2 linked regions of the Lytechinus pictus genome follow. The protein of the gene in region 2 interacts with the protein of the main gene of each other region in a pairwise test. Links are inferred from orthologs where the notes say so. Each region holds a gene or a part of one and is shown on either strand. Other genes may lie near its edges.

The links. The genes of interacting proteins can lie anywhere in the genome.
Region 1: the proteins of ubiquitin-conjugating enzyme E2 K-like (region 2) and tripartite motif-containing protein 2-like interact in binary tests that used the Homo sapiens proteins (3 or more experiments, as listed by UniProt). The link is inferred for Lytechinus pictus from reciprocal best matches to the Homo sapiens genes UBE2K and TRIM2.

What each region holds. Positions count from the first base shown.
Region 1 is NW_026974140.1:10,772,515-10,779,578, reverse strand, and holds the start of tripartite motif-containing protein 2-like, read right to left. Parts: upstream 3,021-7,064; 5' UTR 2,649-3,020; intron 1-2,648. UniProt on the Homo sapiens protein: UBE2D1-dependent E3 ubiquitin-protein ligase that mediates the ubiquitination of NEFL and of phosphorylated BCL2L11. Plays a neuroprotective function. May play a role in neuronal rapid ischemic tolerance.
Region 2 is NC_087249.1:33,557,742-33,565,659, forward strand, and holds the start of ubiquitin-conjugating enzyme E2 K-like, read right to left. Parts: upstream 3,006-7,918; coding exon 2,661-3,005; intron 648-2,660; coding exon 495-647; intron 1-494. UniProt on the Homo sapiens protein: Accepts ubiquitin from the E1 complex and catalyzes its covalent attachment to other proteins. In vitro, in the presence or in the absence of BRCA1-BARD1 E3 ubiquitin-protein ligase complex, catalyzes the synthesis of 'Lys-48'-linked polyubiquitin chains.

The sequences.
Region 1 (7,064 bases), on a different chromosome or scaffold from region 2:
TTTGAGTGGCCTCAAGAACTGCTAATGACATTTCATAGTTCATACCCACGTACATGTAGAATTCCTGTTGACTTTGTTTATGGGTAAAAACAATTACATCCTCTATTGCATGCTAAAATATCTGATGAAATTCTAAATTGAATTAGCCATCCCTGACAAATAGTTTAGTGAGATTTGAATTCCAGTGAACGTGGGTGGTTTAATATGAGCTGTCATCATGAACTCATAATTCTAGGTCAGATTGTGACAACAACTGATTGAATTCCACTTTCTTTTTTTAAAATGGATTTCATGAATGTGCATGTGAGGGTAGTTCCCCCGGGGGGGGGGCACTCACATATATTGGAGTACGGGGCCGTGCCGCTTTGATGACCCCCTTTTTCAAACCTAATTTTCAGTTCTCTAGATACTCCGAATGACAAAAGTTCAGTTAAGAAGCCGCCCAGCCCCTCTCGCAAGACCCCCGTTAGGCCGTTACGAGACATCTCAGTTCCCAAGCCCTCCCAAAATTGTCAAACGCGAGCACCGCATGCGAGATGATTCCCTGGGTAAAGCACTTTGTAAAGTTTTAATAACAGCAGTACTGCGTCCAAGGAAAAATCAATTTATATAATTCATGAGATCACTTTTAATTAGTTTAATTATCCGAGTTACCACTACTCAATCTTTTTTCTGAAAGATTATGAATTTTCAGGACTGAACATTTTCTATTCATTCAATAAAGTAAAACCATTCAATAAGCCATGACACAAGGAGAGCATTACATGTAAAGAGTCATTAATTTTCACTGGCATCTAACTAGAAACAAACCAGTACCGGTAAGTGAAATTCACAGATTTCTTGTCTCAGGAAACACTCGCCAGTTCTTAACAATCCACGTATATGACGTTACAATGTTATATGTCACTCACACAGCACACTATTATGAAATGAAGTTGAGAGTGTAAATTCACATCGTTCACGAAAAAGTGAACATTTCCTCATTAGCAAGTCTGTCATATTTACCCTCCAATAAAATTTCAAAAAGCTAATGGAAAAGGAAATAATTTATTAGACATGTAGGCCTACATGAAGCTACAAAGTTAAAGGGGAAGTTTTAAATCATTATATACCACCTTCTTGAACATTTGTCACATTAGCCATAAAAAAATTCTCATATATGGTATAATCATATTCCATAAACATTTGCAAGTTATGGAATTTTGTATTACATTTATAGAATTTATATCACATGATACATGGGGAAGCTGGTTGTATATGACATCAATATAAAAAAAATACAAAAATCCATAACCCTCTGATTCTTTGTTAGGACTTTCACTACTTACATGTATTACCTTGGCCATCACCATTATTTTTTCTGCTTTTACATCCAAGTGAACCTATCCTTTATTAACAATCATTTACTTTAGCAAGGCCAAGGAAATGTACATACTTACATATGCAGGGGCCCCAGGACTGGGGAGGGAGCTGAAGAGGGGGGGAGGCTTGCAGGGCTTCAGCCTCTAGTACACTCCTCCCCCCCCCCTTGCCAGGAGGCTCCTAGATATTAAAGTCATTCCACTGCATGTTTAATCTCCACGGAGCCAGGGATTCCATAGCATTCATCTCCACAAACAGTCGTTTTTCCCATGGTTTATAGACTCTAGTAAAAAAATATAAAGTCTTTAACTTTTCTAGCCTAACTTTATATGTAAATGGGCTACAAGTATATTTACCCCCCACACGCAAATGGTGATAAAGATTTGATAGTTTTTTAGTCTACCCATGAAAAAACAACCATGTGTGTAGGTGAATGATAAGGAATCCCTGGCTTTGTGAAGATTAAAGGACAAGTCCACCCCAACAAAAAGTTGATTTGAATAATAAGAGAAAATCCAACAAGCAAAACACTGAAAATTTCATCAAATCGAAAGTAAAATAAAAAATTTGTGGCATTTTAAAGTTTCGCTTAATTTCACAAAACAGTTATATGCACATCCTGGTCGGTATACAAATGAGGAGACTGATGACGTCATCCACTCACTAATTCTTTGTATTTTATTACATGAAATATTCTAATTTTCTCTTCATTTTTAAGTGAAACGATTAATTCCTCTCCGAACATGTGGAATTAGTATTGTTTGACAATATATGGATCAGTCAAGTTGGTCCTAATTGCCAAATCTTTAAAATATTGTATAATTCAAACAATACAAAACAAAAGAAATGGTGAGTTAGGGTCATCATCAACTGTCTCATTTGCATGTCACTGAATTGTGCATATCACTGTTTTGTGAAAAATAAGCGAAACTTTAAAAAGTCATAACTTTCTTATTTTACATCCAATTTTGATGAAATTTTCAGCATTATGTTAGTATATAATTTTTCTCTATTTATTCACATAAACATTTTTCTGGGGTGGACTTGACCTTTAAGCACGTCAGTTTAATAAGTGGCTACCTCCCCCCCCCCCCCCCCTCACTTTGTTTTTCCAAACTGTAAAACAATTTACAAAATGACCATCTGATTGTGATATGTCGAGAATAATGGAGGGTTTTTCATCAAATTATGGAGAAGGGTCTATTATCAATGACAATGTGTGCACCAGTAATGCCATGGCTGGTGCACTGTGCCATTGCCATTGGCATTCAAGGCCCAATACTTACTAGAGTGTGTGGCAGTACGATGCCAGTGGATTCCTATCCCCGTCGCGGTCGGCCTGGCCGGCTATGTTCGGGGCTCCGTTCAGCTCAGTCACGATCACGTCTCAAATCAACACAGATCCAGAACAGAAGTACTACTCACTTATCCTCTCTAATTCCGCGGCTGATCCAATAATATATGATGATCCAAAATATAATTGCCAGATAGTATGAATCCAAAAAAAATGTATTTGCTGTGAATTTACAAATAAATTGAGGCGTGGATGCCTTCTCAGCCCTAGTACCAGCGATTCAAATGATTGCGCAAGAGCATTGAGCTGGCTAGCTAGCTAGCCGCATAATTACCGGTACCGGTATACGTACCGGTACTAGTATAGTATGCATATGCACGTCGCTCGCGATACGACGCTCTCAGCTCAGTCTATCTCAGATCTGAATCGCGCGTGGTGTGGTGGGGGTCAAGAGATCTATGTGGGGGCTCTTCTCTTCTATTTTTGTCAGTTTTGGTTTTCTTTTATACAAGTTCGTGGGTAGATCATTTTGGGGTTAGAAAGAATGCAGATGGACAAATTACCTGCTTTCTTTACATACAACCTGTGCCTGCGTGCTCTCTGCTTATATGGTAAAGGCCTACACGACCACTACCCGGGCACCCCCCCCCCCCTCAATAAAAAGCCTCGAAGTTGCGTTGTCATTTCATCTAAAACAAAAACAAAGACACACTTCATAGGTTTCCATCCATATGGACCAGGGGAGACTTCAAAGGGATAGGGGCAACGGGGTAACTGCCCCTCATTAGATATTCAAGAAAAAAAATTAATAAAAAAAATAAAAGAGAGAAAAAAGGGGGAAAGTGGGAAGGAGAAAAAGAAAAAGCGAAGCGAGAAAAGAGAAGAAGGGTGTAGCTTTATTGTTTTTCCTTTTTGTATTTTGTCAAATGTATAAAAACCTAAACGAGATGCTCTTCTCTCTCTTCATGCAAAATTTCGCGGGATAAATATAAAAATTGCCTTACCCCTTTGTTTCCCACAACTTTTTCTACTCCGTTTTTCAACTCCTCGGCAATGGGATTCGTGTATTTTCTTGCCAGAAATTATGAAGTATACTTTGGTTTAAAATATTATGATAAGTATTTATTTAATTTCCGCTCTTCTGGTCAGAGCGGGTAAACACTACCGCCACTCTCCGAGTCCGCATATGCAATTTCTGCTTTTCAGCAACCAATTTTTGGCAAACTATCTGCTCAAGGGGACAGGCATTAAATTCGCGCCGTGCTATAATGCAAAAGTATAAACGGAGAAACTTTGGTTCCATATGACATTTGCTCCGGCGACAACTCCGCTGCAAATATTCCTTCCTGCGAAACTTCGGAATTTCTCTGAATTTTTAGAAAAAATTCAGAAATTTCGAGGGACTCTTTCCTCCCTGCATACGTGTCTTCTGAAAGTGTAATGTGGCTAAATATTTTTTTTATCAAATCAGATCTAATCAAGGAAGGCATTTTACACAACTTTTGTTCTCAATTTCTATAAAACGTTTTACGTTCCGTGCTTCGCGCGGGAAGAGGAATTATTTCAAATTCATTAATCTTTTCCCGTATTTCTTTCAATTTTTTTTTTTTTTTTATCTCAGCATTTTAATTAAATTTGGAATACTAGAGACGCAAGAGACGTCTCCTTTTGATTTGAATTTGATGAGGCATCGAAAACTTCGCTCGGGAGGCCTGGGGAAACTCCCCCTCCCTGTACCCCCCCCCCCCCTATAGGGAGCACGCCTCACGCGCTCTGTATGGGATTTAATCCAGGACATATAGTTCCTCTCCAATGAAGTTTATTTAGTTTATCTCTTTTCATTTTAATCACAAAGATATAGGGAAAGAGAAGGGTATCTATAATAACCTTTGGAACGAAAGATGTAATTGTGGTTCGAGAAAAAAAAAAATCATATTGCAACTTTAGAATGTAATTAAATGTGAGACTGTCTGGTTTTGGTAAAATACCGAACAATTCATGATTTTCATTAAAAAAGAACGATAATTCAAGTAACTGGAGAGTAAATATGAAAAAAAAATTGCCATTTTAAGTTTTGGAATATTAATTCTAATAGACTGACATTATAATAGTTTGAAAAGGTAGAATTTGCTTTTAGTAATCTGTGCACTGTGTAAAATTAATTTTTAGTTGACTTGAATGGAATGAAGGGTAGGCTACGATGAGGATATAAGTTCACATAGAGTTTACAGGTTAATGACACACCGGGAATCCATGTCATCACTTCTATCATTAGTTCAGGAGTTATTCATGTCAACATTTCCAGTGAGGTTGATTAATGGAGGGAATAATGAATGTAAACGAATGCTTTTACGGGTGGATAATGAAATGCTTTGTATTTAATGTTGATATATATTCTACACGCACCCTCAACGACGTATTTGCCTATAATTAATATTGCATACACATGAACAAGGATAGGGTAATGGGGTTCATAATAACTTTGGTATGTACCCCTGATGGACGAAAAGTGCAAGTTCATTTCATTAGGTTCAATGTTCATGATCGTGACGATAATGCATGAAGTTATGTTGTGTATCTTAATTCAATTTATTCAAGACACAATTAAAAGTATTCGCTATTACAGCTTACATCCATACAAACTGCATAGAAATCTGCTTATATACATGAAAAAAAAATATACAATTTATAAAATAAATAGCGATAGACCAATGAAACCCAGCTGACAGAAAAAGAAATACATATGGGGATGCATAAAAATGTGCCTTTGGGGCAGAATCGAATGGGGGCAGGGGAAGCAATATAAGAAGAGGGAGAAAAACAGAAAGAAGGAAAGTGAATGAATGAATGAAATCAAATGAATGAAAGGAATGAAATGAATGAAATGAATGAAATTAAATGGATGAAAGGAATGAAATGAATGAAATTAAATGAATGAAAGGAATGAAATGAATGAAATTAAATGAATGAAAGGAATGAAATGAATGAAAGGAATGAAATGAATGAAATGAATGAAATGAATGAAATGAATGAAATGAATGAAATGAATGAAATGAATGAACGAATGAACGAATGAACGAATGAACGAATGAACGAATGAATGAATGAAATGAATGAAATGAATGAAATGAATGAAATGAATGAAATGAATGAACGAATGAACGAATGAACGAATGAACGAACGAACGAATGAATGAATGAATGAATGAATGAAATGAATGAAATGAATGAAATGAATGAAATGAATGAAATGAATGAAATGAATGAAATGAATGAACGAACGAACGAACGAATGAATGAATGAATGAATGAATGAAATGAATGAAATGAATGAAATGAATGAAATGAATGAAATGAATGAAATGAATGAAATGAATGAAATGAATGAAATGAATGAAATGAATGAAATGAATGAACGAATGAACGAATGAACGAATGAACGAATGAATGAATGAATGAATGAAATGAATGAAATGAATGAAATGAATGAAATGAATGAAATGAATGAATGAATGAACGAATGAACGAATGAACGAATGAACGAACGAACGAATGAATGAATGAATGAATGAAATCAACTTTCATGTGGACCTTTAAGGTCAAATGAAAATTGCGACAGTTATTCTTATAGTAGCACCTCCGTGTGTACGATAACGATTTAGATATTTTTACTGAAAGCTTTTATAGATTAAATCTCCAAATTGAATATAAATCCCATATACATCGTATATGAAAAGAAAACATTTCTCTGATCGAACGGATAAAATGAGAATAAATTGATATTTATTTCACTGTACAGTACACCCAAGGCCAACAAAAAGTAGTCAGAAATGATTTGTACACATAATTTTATCATTCAATACTTCAAAAAAAAAAATGTGCACGGTCAAAGCGAGAACGTGATGAATGTATATAAGCCATTTGATTTTTAAAAGTGGTATGGAAGTAAACATTCTTTGTAAATGAAATTAATCAAGTGATGAAGAATAACATCGACAGAAATGGAGAAGGAATTTATAATTTTGGTGGCACCCCAAATCAAGGGATGCTTAAAGGTGTCCCTAAAAACTGGTACTACAATCTCTGACATTATATTTTTTTTCTCGATCGAGGTTTTCATGATTGTTGTTGTGATAACCAACAATTGATATGATAATCATAACTAAAAATAATTTGGGGGTGAGAAACGACACTTATGAAAATAAAAATAAAAATTTGCTATATCAAAAAGAGAAAGCAGATGATGATGGAAAATATGAGATTTTCTCCAAACAACTAACTCGTGAAACCAAGGTGAGTAGAAGAAAGTGGATGTCGTTGTTTTTAAAGGAATACTACGGATAATTTATTATAAACGAGAATAAACAAAGGTTCCCTCAGACATTACTACTTGACATCACAGACCATG
Region 2 (7,918 bases):
AAAAAATGGTTATCACCCCAAATGTAAGGTCATCTCTTCCAAACTACATGTTTTATTTTGATTTTGAATGATGTATTTCTTTCCATCATAAAAAAAACAAAAATAGTAGGGGGGACATTTGATATTGTGTCCCTCCTACTTTTTTTGGTAGGGAGAACGTGTTCCCCCTGTCCCCCCTGAGATTTCCGCCCATGACTACCACCACCACCACCACCACTACTACTACTACTACAGTACTACTATTACTACTACTACTACTAACTACTACTTCTACCACCACCACCACCATCATCACTACTACTACTAAGTCCTACATCTCCTTGTTTTTCAATCAATTGACACAGGGAAAATTGGTCTTGACTATTAACATTTATATAAATAAGAGCAAAATTTCTTCCCTAGAAGTATCTTGGCTAGATGGCACATTCGCACATGAACAAAAAATGAGATCCTTAAACTGAAAATGGATGGACTTTATGGTAATAAAGGCTTACACGAGGTGGATTGAAGGGGTACGTCTCTGGGACTTCGATGTGTAACTTGAATTTACCACCCTGGTACGGTGTGTCTGGTGGTCCTATGATCTCCCCTTGGAGTTTGGAGTAATCATTGATTGGAAATTCAATCTTGATCTGGTTCTTAATAGCCTGCAAAGAAAGGAAAATGATACGAAAAACTAAAATAGATAAATAAAGTAACAATGATATTACTGAACAAAAAGTTTGGCTCCTTAAATAAAAAAAGTAATGACCATGGAGCACATTCTGGGGAGTGTTTCATGAAAGGATTTGTCAGACATTTTTTTCTGATAAGTCTGCTTTATTCCAGTTACCCTAGTAACAGTGCTTCTAAGCCAATCAATAGGCTTATCTAGGAAAGTCTCAGATTTGACAACTTGGCAGACAATAAATGTTGATAAAAATCTCCCCCAAAAGTCCGGTTCAACTTCCATTACTTACAAGTAAGTCATAACTTGTGTGTGATCTACATGTATGTCCATTCCAGAAAAATCAGTAAGATACATGTAGGCTACTGAAGAAATATTACACCTCCTGCAGGATGGATAAGATACACACTCTTACCTGCACATCCGCATTGGACAGCTCTATAGTTAATGGTCTGTAATTAAGTAAATCTGAATGAATCTTTTACACTGGAGGCAGATTAATAAGAAGAGGAAATCTATAGGCTTAGCATATATGCAATAATTGTCAAAATTTGTCCTTTGTGATCTATTGTACATTATTTCTAAACAATTTATGAAATATTTCTTGCAAAATTCTTCAAATTGCCTTCTTTTCTGGATTAACAAGCAGTATACTTCCTGACAAGAGATAGCCTATGGGCATGGCCCCCTAGGAGCATCTCAAATGACCTTAAATATTGGGGCATTTAATCAATATTTATATCCGACATGTTTGCTTGCATAATAAGCATTAAAATAAATCCTGTATAGTGATTGGTTCAAATACAATGTACATGTAGTATCATGTAACCAAATATATTCTAACTATGATGATTTGTGACGTTAGACCTCAATATAATTTTCGATATACCAATATTCTGATGTCATTATTTGAGAAAACTACATGCAGATACCGGTATTTACATGTAGCTAATCTCTCTGGTACGCCGGTCAGCAAGCTGCCTCTCCCGTGATGTGTCAGCGCTATCAGCATTCCATTGAGCATGGTAGCTTTGGGAAAGTACATGTAGGTCATTCAATGCAAGTTAACGGACTCTGCAAACTCAGTGCACCGATTTTGGTTCTAATTCATTAAAAGTAGGAAATACGACAAATATAACAGGCATTTCCTTTGAAAGCATTCTTGGTTTGACTGGCAATATAACTATTCTGCACTCAGGTCTTCACCCCAAGGGAAAAATAGTAATCGCCAGACCAACCTTGGATAAATAACTCCCACTATTTCACAAAGCCCGATATATGTAGGCTATACTGTTACCATGGTAACTGTCCAACAAGTCTTTTCATGAAATACTCCCCTGACACTTAGAGACAGTCTCTAGTTTTAGGAGACATGCATCCATCATTCCATCTAATATATAACTTAAAGATATAACCTTGTCCTGTAATACTACGGTGCACAAGTTTAAACTAGGCTTGACAATTGATCTTCTTTGCTTATTCTTCATCTCGTGAGTCAATAATAAACATTTTGCCAAAACACTTTCTTGTACAGTGTAATCATCATATACATGTATCTTAGCCAGCTTAAATCCTACTTTTTAATGAAACTGATTATAAAACTTCAGTTACCCGTTCCTGTACTTTCCACCAATACTAGATCTACAATGTAGGCGTATAGAGAGCCTCACAGAAATAAACCCCAAAATGACAGATTTTGATTTTGACCACACTGGTGAACAAGAAAGTCAGACAAGGGTAAGAGCTAATAAATATGTTTATATTAATTCAATATTTTTTAATGTATATCCTAGCAGTACCAACAAGTACTGGATTACAAATAGACACATGATATCTGGATGTTCGAGACTGTTGGGAATGTGTGGTAGATGGAATTCCACCCTTCTAAGTGCCAAACGTTGACAGTCACTAACAAGAGGAAACAGATTCTTGGCCGGTATGGCATCACCTAGAGTTTGTGAGTTCTGCCAGGTATCTTGGTATCCACATTTACCACAAACTCAACTTCAACAGTCATGTGGATACTGTCAAGAAAGCGAATTCTGTCACCGCCATCCGATGACGGAAATTTAAGCACTGTAGGCACAAGATCAAGGCTACATACTTCACATATGAATGCCCAATGGTGGAATATGCTGCAACAGCATGGGACCGAGACACACAGTGGAATGTAAACAAGCTTGAAATGGTACAACGAAGGCATGCACGCTACGTCACAGGTGACTTCAACCAAACATCCAGCGTAACGACTAACGACCGAAAACCTGAACTGGCCATTGTTACTCACCAGATGTCTTGACAGTGGCTTGCTTTGCTGTAACGTATCTGCTTCAATCATGTTCACATTACCTGGCAGTCCTTCTTCAGTGAGCTGTCAAAAGCAACTAGGGGACACTGATCTCGATTTTGGACACCCCACTGCAGCAGTCAGACCTATGATTCTTCCATCTTCCCAATCCCTAGTTAACCTGTAACTTAGGACTGGAACAATCTCCCACAGGATCCAATCCATTACCCTCTGTTGATGCCTTCAAGGCCTTCTTGATTGGGGTGCAGAAGTAAACACCACAAAGGATGCTTTTACTTACTATATACGCACCTGCACTACAAGAACAAGACCTTTTAATAAGAATGTGAAAAGTTCCACACATACATGTACATACACAACCAGTGCATTTATCTTCATCACCTAGGCAGCACTTACTCTGGAAGAAGAAGATCCCTAATTGTTTGTTGTGCATAAGGCAAGATGTTAATATGCTAGGGCAACCTTTATAGATTTCTCATCAGCATTTAATACTAAAGAACCCCATATACTCCTGGAAAAAGTAGAAAAATCTAAATGGTCAGCCATCTCTTATACTGTGGCTTCATGATTTTCTCCATGAAAGGACACAGAAGGTTAGGGTTAACGGCATTCTCTCTGATGAAATAACGACAACCATTGGTACTCCACAAGGGTGTGTTCTCTCTGCGACCCTTTTCACCCTATACACCAATGACTGTATATCATATAACCCATCTACTCACAAACTTAAATATGCAGATGATACGGTGATAGTCGGATTAATTGAAAATGAAAATGAATTGGATTATATGGATACTATCCATACGTTCGAAAATTGGTGTGAAGCAAACTGTTTACTCGTTAACTCCAAGAAGACAAAAGAAATTGTCTTCGACTTCAGGCAAAAGAAATCCTTTGAACCCACTGATAGACCAGTACATATAAATGGTGATATTATTGACAATGTTGAAGTTTATAGATATTTAGGAACGGGAATCGACAGCAAACTGTCGTGGGATGCAAAGTCAAAATGCACTTTGACCAAATGCAACCAACGGTTATATTTCCTCAGAAAGTTAAAGTACTTCCATGTAAATGATAGGATCCTGTATCTATTTTACCAGTCGATCATCCAGAGTATCATTACTTTTGATTCAATCATCTGGTTTAATAACGCAAAACAGAGAGATAAAATAAAGCTTAGAAGACTTGTTAAGCAAGCCAGCAAAATAATGAATAACACTGTTGACTTTCGAAAGCTCTCTCCATTATGTCTGATCAAACCCACCCCCTGAATAGCCAGTATATTCAATTAAGAAGTGGACGAAGACTGAAATCTATAAAAGCAAGAACCAGTCGCCGCATTAATTCATTCGTCCCTTTCTCCATAAGAGTTGTCAATGAAATACAGTAGAATAAGGAGTGTGGTTTATCTGTAGAAACAAAGAGAAAATGTAGCAGACAACTCTGCAACTTACAGTACATGTCAATAGTAATTGTAGAGTTTTAGAGATGAGAAAGTTGGGAATATATGTCCCTTTTATCTCTCACTGTACCCCCCCCCCCCTCCCCCCGCCCGCGACTGCATGTCTTAACTTGAAAGGAGGAAGTATTGAAATATGTAAAACCAAGATCTAGCTACAGCTTTAATTGATATCACTTTCAGAATGAAGAAAATAAATAATGTTTAATACATAATATATTCACAACATTTATACCATAAAAACATTAAAAATATAATCAACAAATAAATGAATGAATAAATAACTGAATAAATAAATAAATGCTCAATAACTATGCCATCTAAGTCATCGATTTTAATTCATGTATACATCACATGTATTCTATAACTCTGTACAATCACGATGATTACGTTCATGTTCATGTTTAATATGTTACCGGTATGTTCATTGTTGTAATGTTATTCTGTGAATTTTATTTTTGTTGCAAGAATTGTCAAGTTATACAATTATCCGTTTTAACGGACAAATAAATTAAATGAAATGAAATATTACTCATCATAACCTGGTACTTGTTGGTAGTACTAGTAGCACAAGTGAAGTCTAAATATTCCTGTCCTCTCACGCATGTATTCTCTCCACCATCTTTAAACAGTTTTATGCTCTTTCAATTACATTGCAACGGCTGGATGCCAACTTTTTCTATTTCCTTTCATGCCATGGAAATTTTTGCAATAAAAAATTGATGGGCATGTCAGTGGATCATATTACCACGGTTACTAAACGCTTTTCCTGAATTCACATTAATCTTCTACCATAAATATGCAAATACGGTACGTACAAAAAATAAAGATGTAAATCTGTTGCTGAGATCATTTTCCTTTTTTTGCGATATCAGCTTCCGATCACACCCCACTTCACAAGTGAAATATTTGGGTCACTTCTCTTGAAAATGATATCATGTGTGTTTTCGGTGGAAAAAGTTAGAAAAATTACAAAATCTCTTATCGGATATTTTGACCATTTGTTGTTTTGAGAAAGCAAAGACTTTGAAAATTTCTTGGCCATTTTTTCATCGTCTTTCCATTCAAATTGCTTTTGGAAGGATTTTTCAAAGTTTTAAGCATGTTCTGATGCATAAATTTTCGTGTTCGGAATGTACAGGGCCGACTGGTTATACAAAAACAAGAAATCACTAAGACACAAGATCTAACGTAAGATCTGACTATATTTAAAATTAACTTTAAATTGATATAACATCCAATTCCCCATTCAATTTATTTCAGTAAAAAATTAATGACGGTTAGACCCCTGCCAGTCCTCAGTGTCTCTCGGACATGATTTTGAGACTTGACTCAGCTCCACTGCCGGCAGGTAATTTGTGAAACGCTGTGTTGAATTAACTTGTAACTTGTTGATTAATTATAGAGGTCTCGGCCTGTTTTATTTTGTTGTGCAAAATTAAAAAAAGAGCAAAGCACTAGCGCCCGCTCGGTAACTAATGTTAGACTGGTCCTTGCAAGCCAATTCTGGATCTGGATCTGGATGTGTACGATGCAGTGCCCTCTTGAGCATAAACGCATCGGGTGAGAGAGGGCGGAGTAAGGATTAGAAGGTTCCGTCAATGGCCTTCTTGAATGAGCTTGTCGATGTTGAGTTGATGACAGCGTCACTCAGGTGATTCCACTCAATGATAGTGGATGGGAAGAACGAGTTCCTATATTGTTCAGTTCGTGCTCTGATTGGATTGTATGATGGTGGTCCCCAAATCTGCGCACTTAACAATTTGAATTAAGATTTAACATGAATTCCTTTTTCTTTCACAAAATCTTTCAGTTAATAATGTTCCTTATAATTTATATCATTATGAGTAAGTGTACCAAATATCTCATAAAAATTTGAAAGAAATATAGGATTTTCTTGGAAAAAACCTTGGGCCGTCATTTTCAGATTGAAAAAAAATATGGTACCCCATGTCTGCGCACCCATTCACTTTGCACACGATTCGGGGATTTTGATGAGAAAGCCTGCATTTTGAGGCTGTCATAAGAAATGCCCAAAATTCATTATTTTTCCATTTTGAGTCAGATTTTTAATGAATATCTGTCTATGTATTGCATGTGTAAAGTCTGTGTTTGTTGGGTATCTTCTTCTACTAGAATCACACAGATACGCATGTGCACAGACAAGGGGGACTGCACAGACTTGGGCCCTTGGGCTTAGCCTTAGGGGAGCTATTATTTGTCACTTCACTCACTTGCCTATCTATATTTATTGTACTAGTGTCTCAGTTTTCAAATTGTTTGGCACGGATGTCTTCTGGATTTTATAGGTTCACTTGAGCAAAAGTTTGGATTGGGAGAGCTAGCACCAACCCCCCGACCACTTCGAAGAAGAGGGTGAGTTTGACTTGACTCTTGAGCCTTTGAGGTTCCTTCTTCTTTCCTTCAGGCTTGGGAGCTAGATCAGTAGATGTACCGCCAGTACCGGTTCCGCTTACTGCGGCAGCCCGAACACGTACTGTGTTCGGGCTGCGTTGTGATTCACCCCGGCTCACCAGATCAAACCAGATGAGCATCGGGAATCAATCAAAAATACATAAAATTGCACAAAACTGTTACAAAGGAATCAATACATACTTACAACTTAAGGCGCAATATGGGCGGCACTCAAAACTTCGAAATAATTCCCCAAAACGAAGCAAAAACGTCGGAAAATTTTGCCGGTGTGCATTAACAGTCGTTTGTACAGGAAGCAATGGAGGATCGATATAGCCTTTTGACGAGGCAACGAGATAAATTGATTTTTATCTTCGTGCTAGCAGAAAACAAAAACAAAAGATAAATAATAGCCTAATCCTTATAAAAACAAAAAATAAAATAATAATCGATTATAATACGTTTATAATACGCTCTTCCTATTAATTTCACCCTGTTTATTCACTGAGGATCCTATAGAAATATACTAGAAGTCTTTGACAAAAGGCTATCGTATGAGGCATGCGAGAAAGGGTAATATGAATATTCATAAGTCTAACTTAGTGGCGTAATTTCTTTTTCGATGGTTTGGCTGCGTGGCAGCCAGTGAATAAATCACTATTTTAACGGCCTTTTGTTTTTATTCGATTAGCTTCTTTTCATGTAATTTTTTTCTTCATTCTTTTCTCGTGTTCTAATATTCTTTCTTAGTTCTCCCTCGTGATTTCTTTTCACTTTCTTTATTTTTTATCCCCTTTTCCGTTTTGTTTTTATTATTTTCATATTTTGTTCATCTACTTTTCGTTTCGTAGTTGATTTTCTTTTCCTTTCTTTACTGTTTCATTTTTTTCTTTTTGACTTTTGCTCTTTTTTCTTCGTTTCTTGTCTTTTCTTTTCCCTTTCGTTTTCTTTTTAATTCTTTTTTTCTTTACTTTTCTACCTATTGTCTCTATATTTAAATTAGTTTCTTTATCATCTTTTTTTTTTTCGAGAGAGATTATGCACGTGGTGTCGCACATTTTTTTTA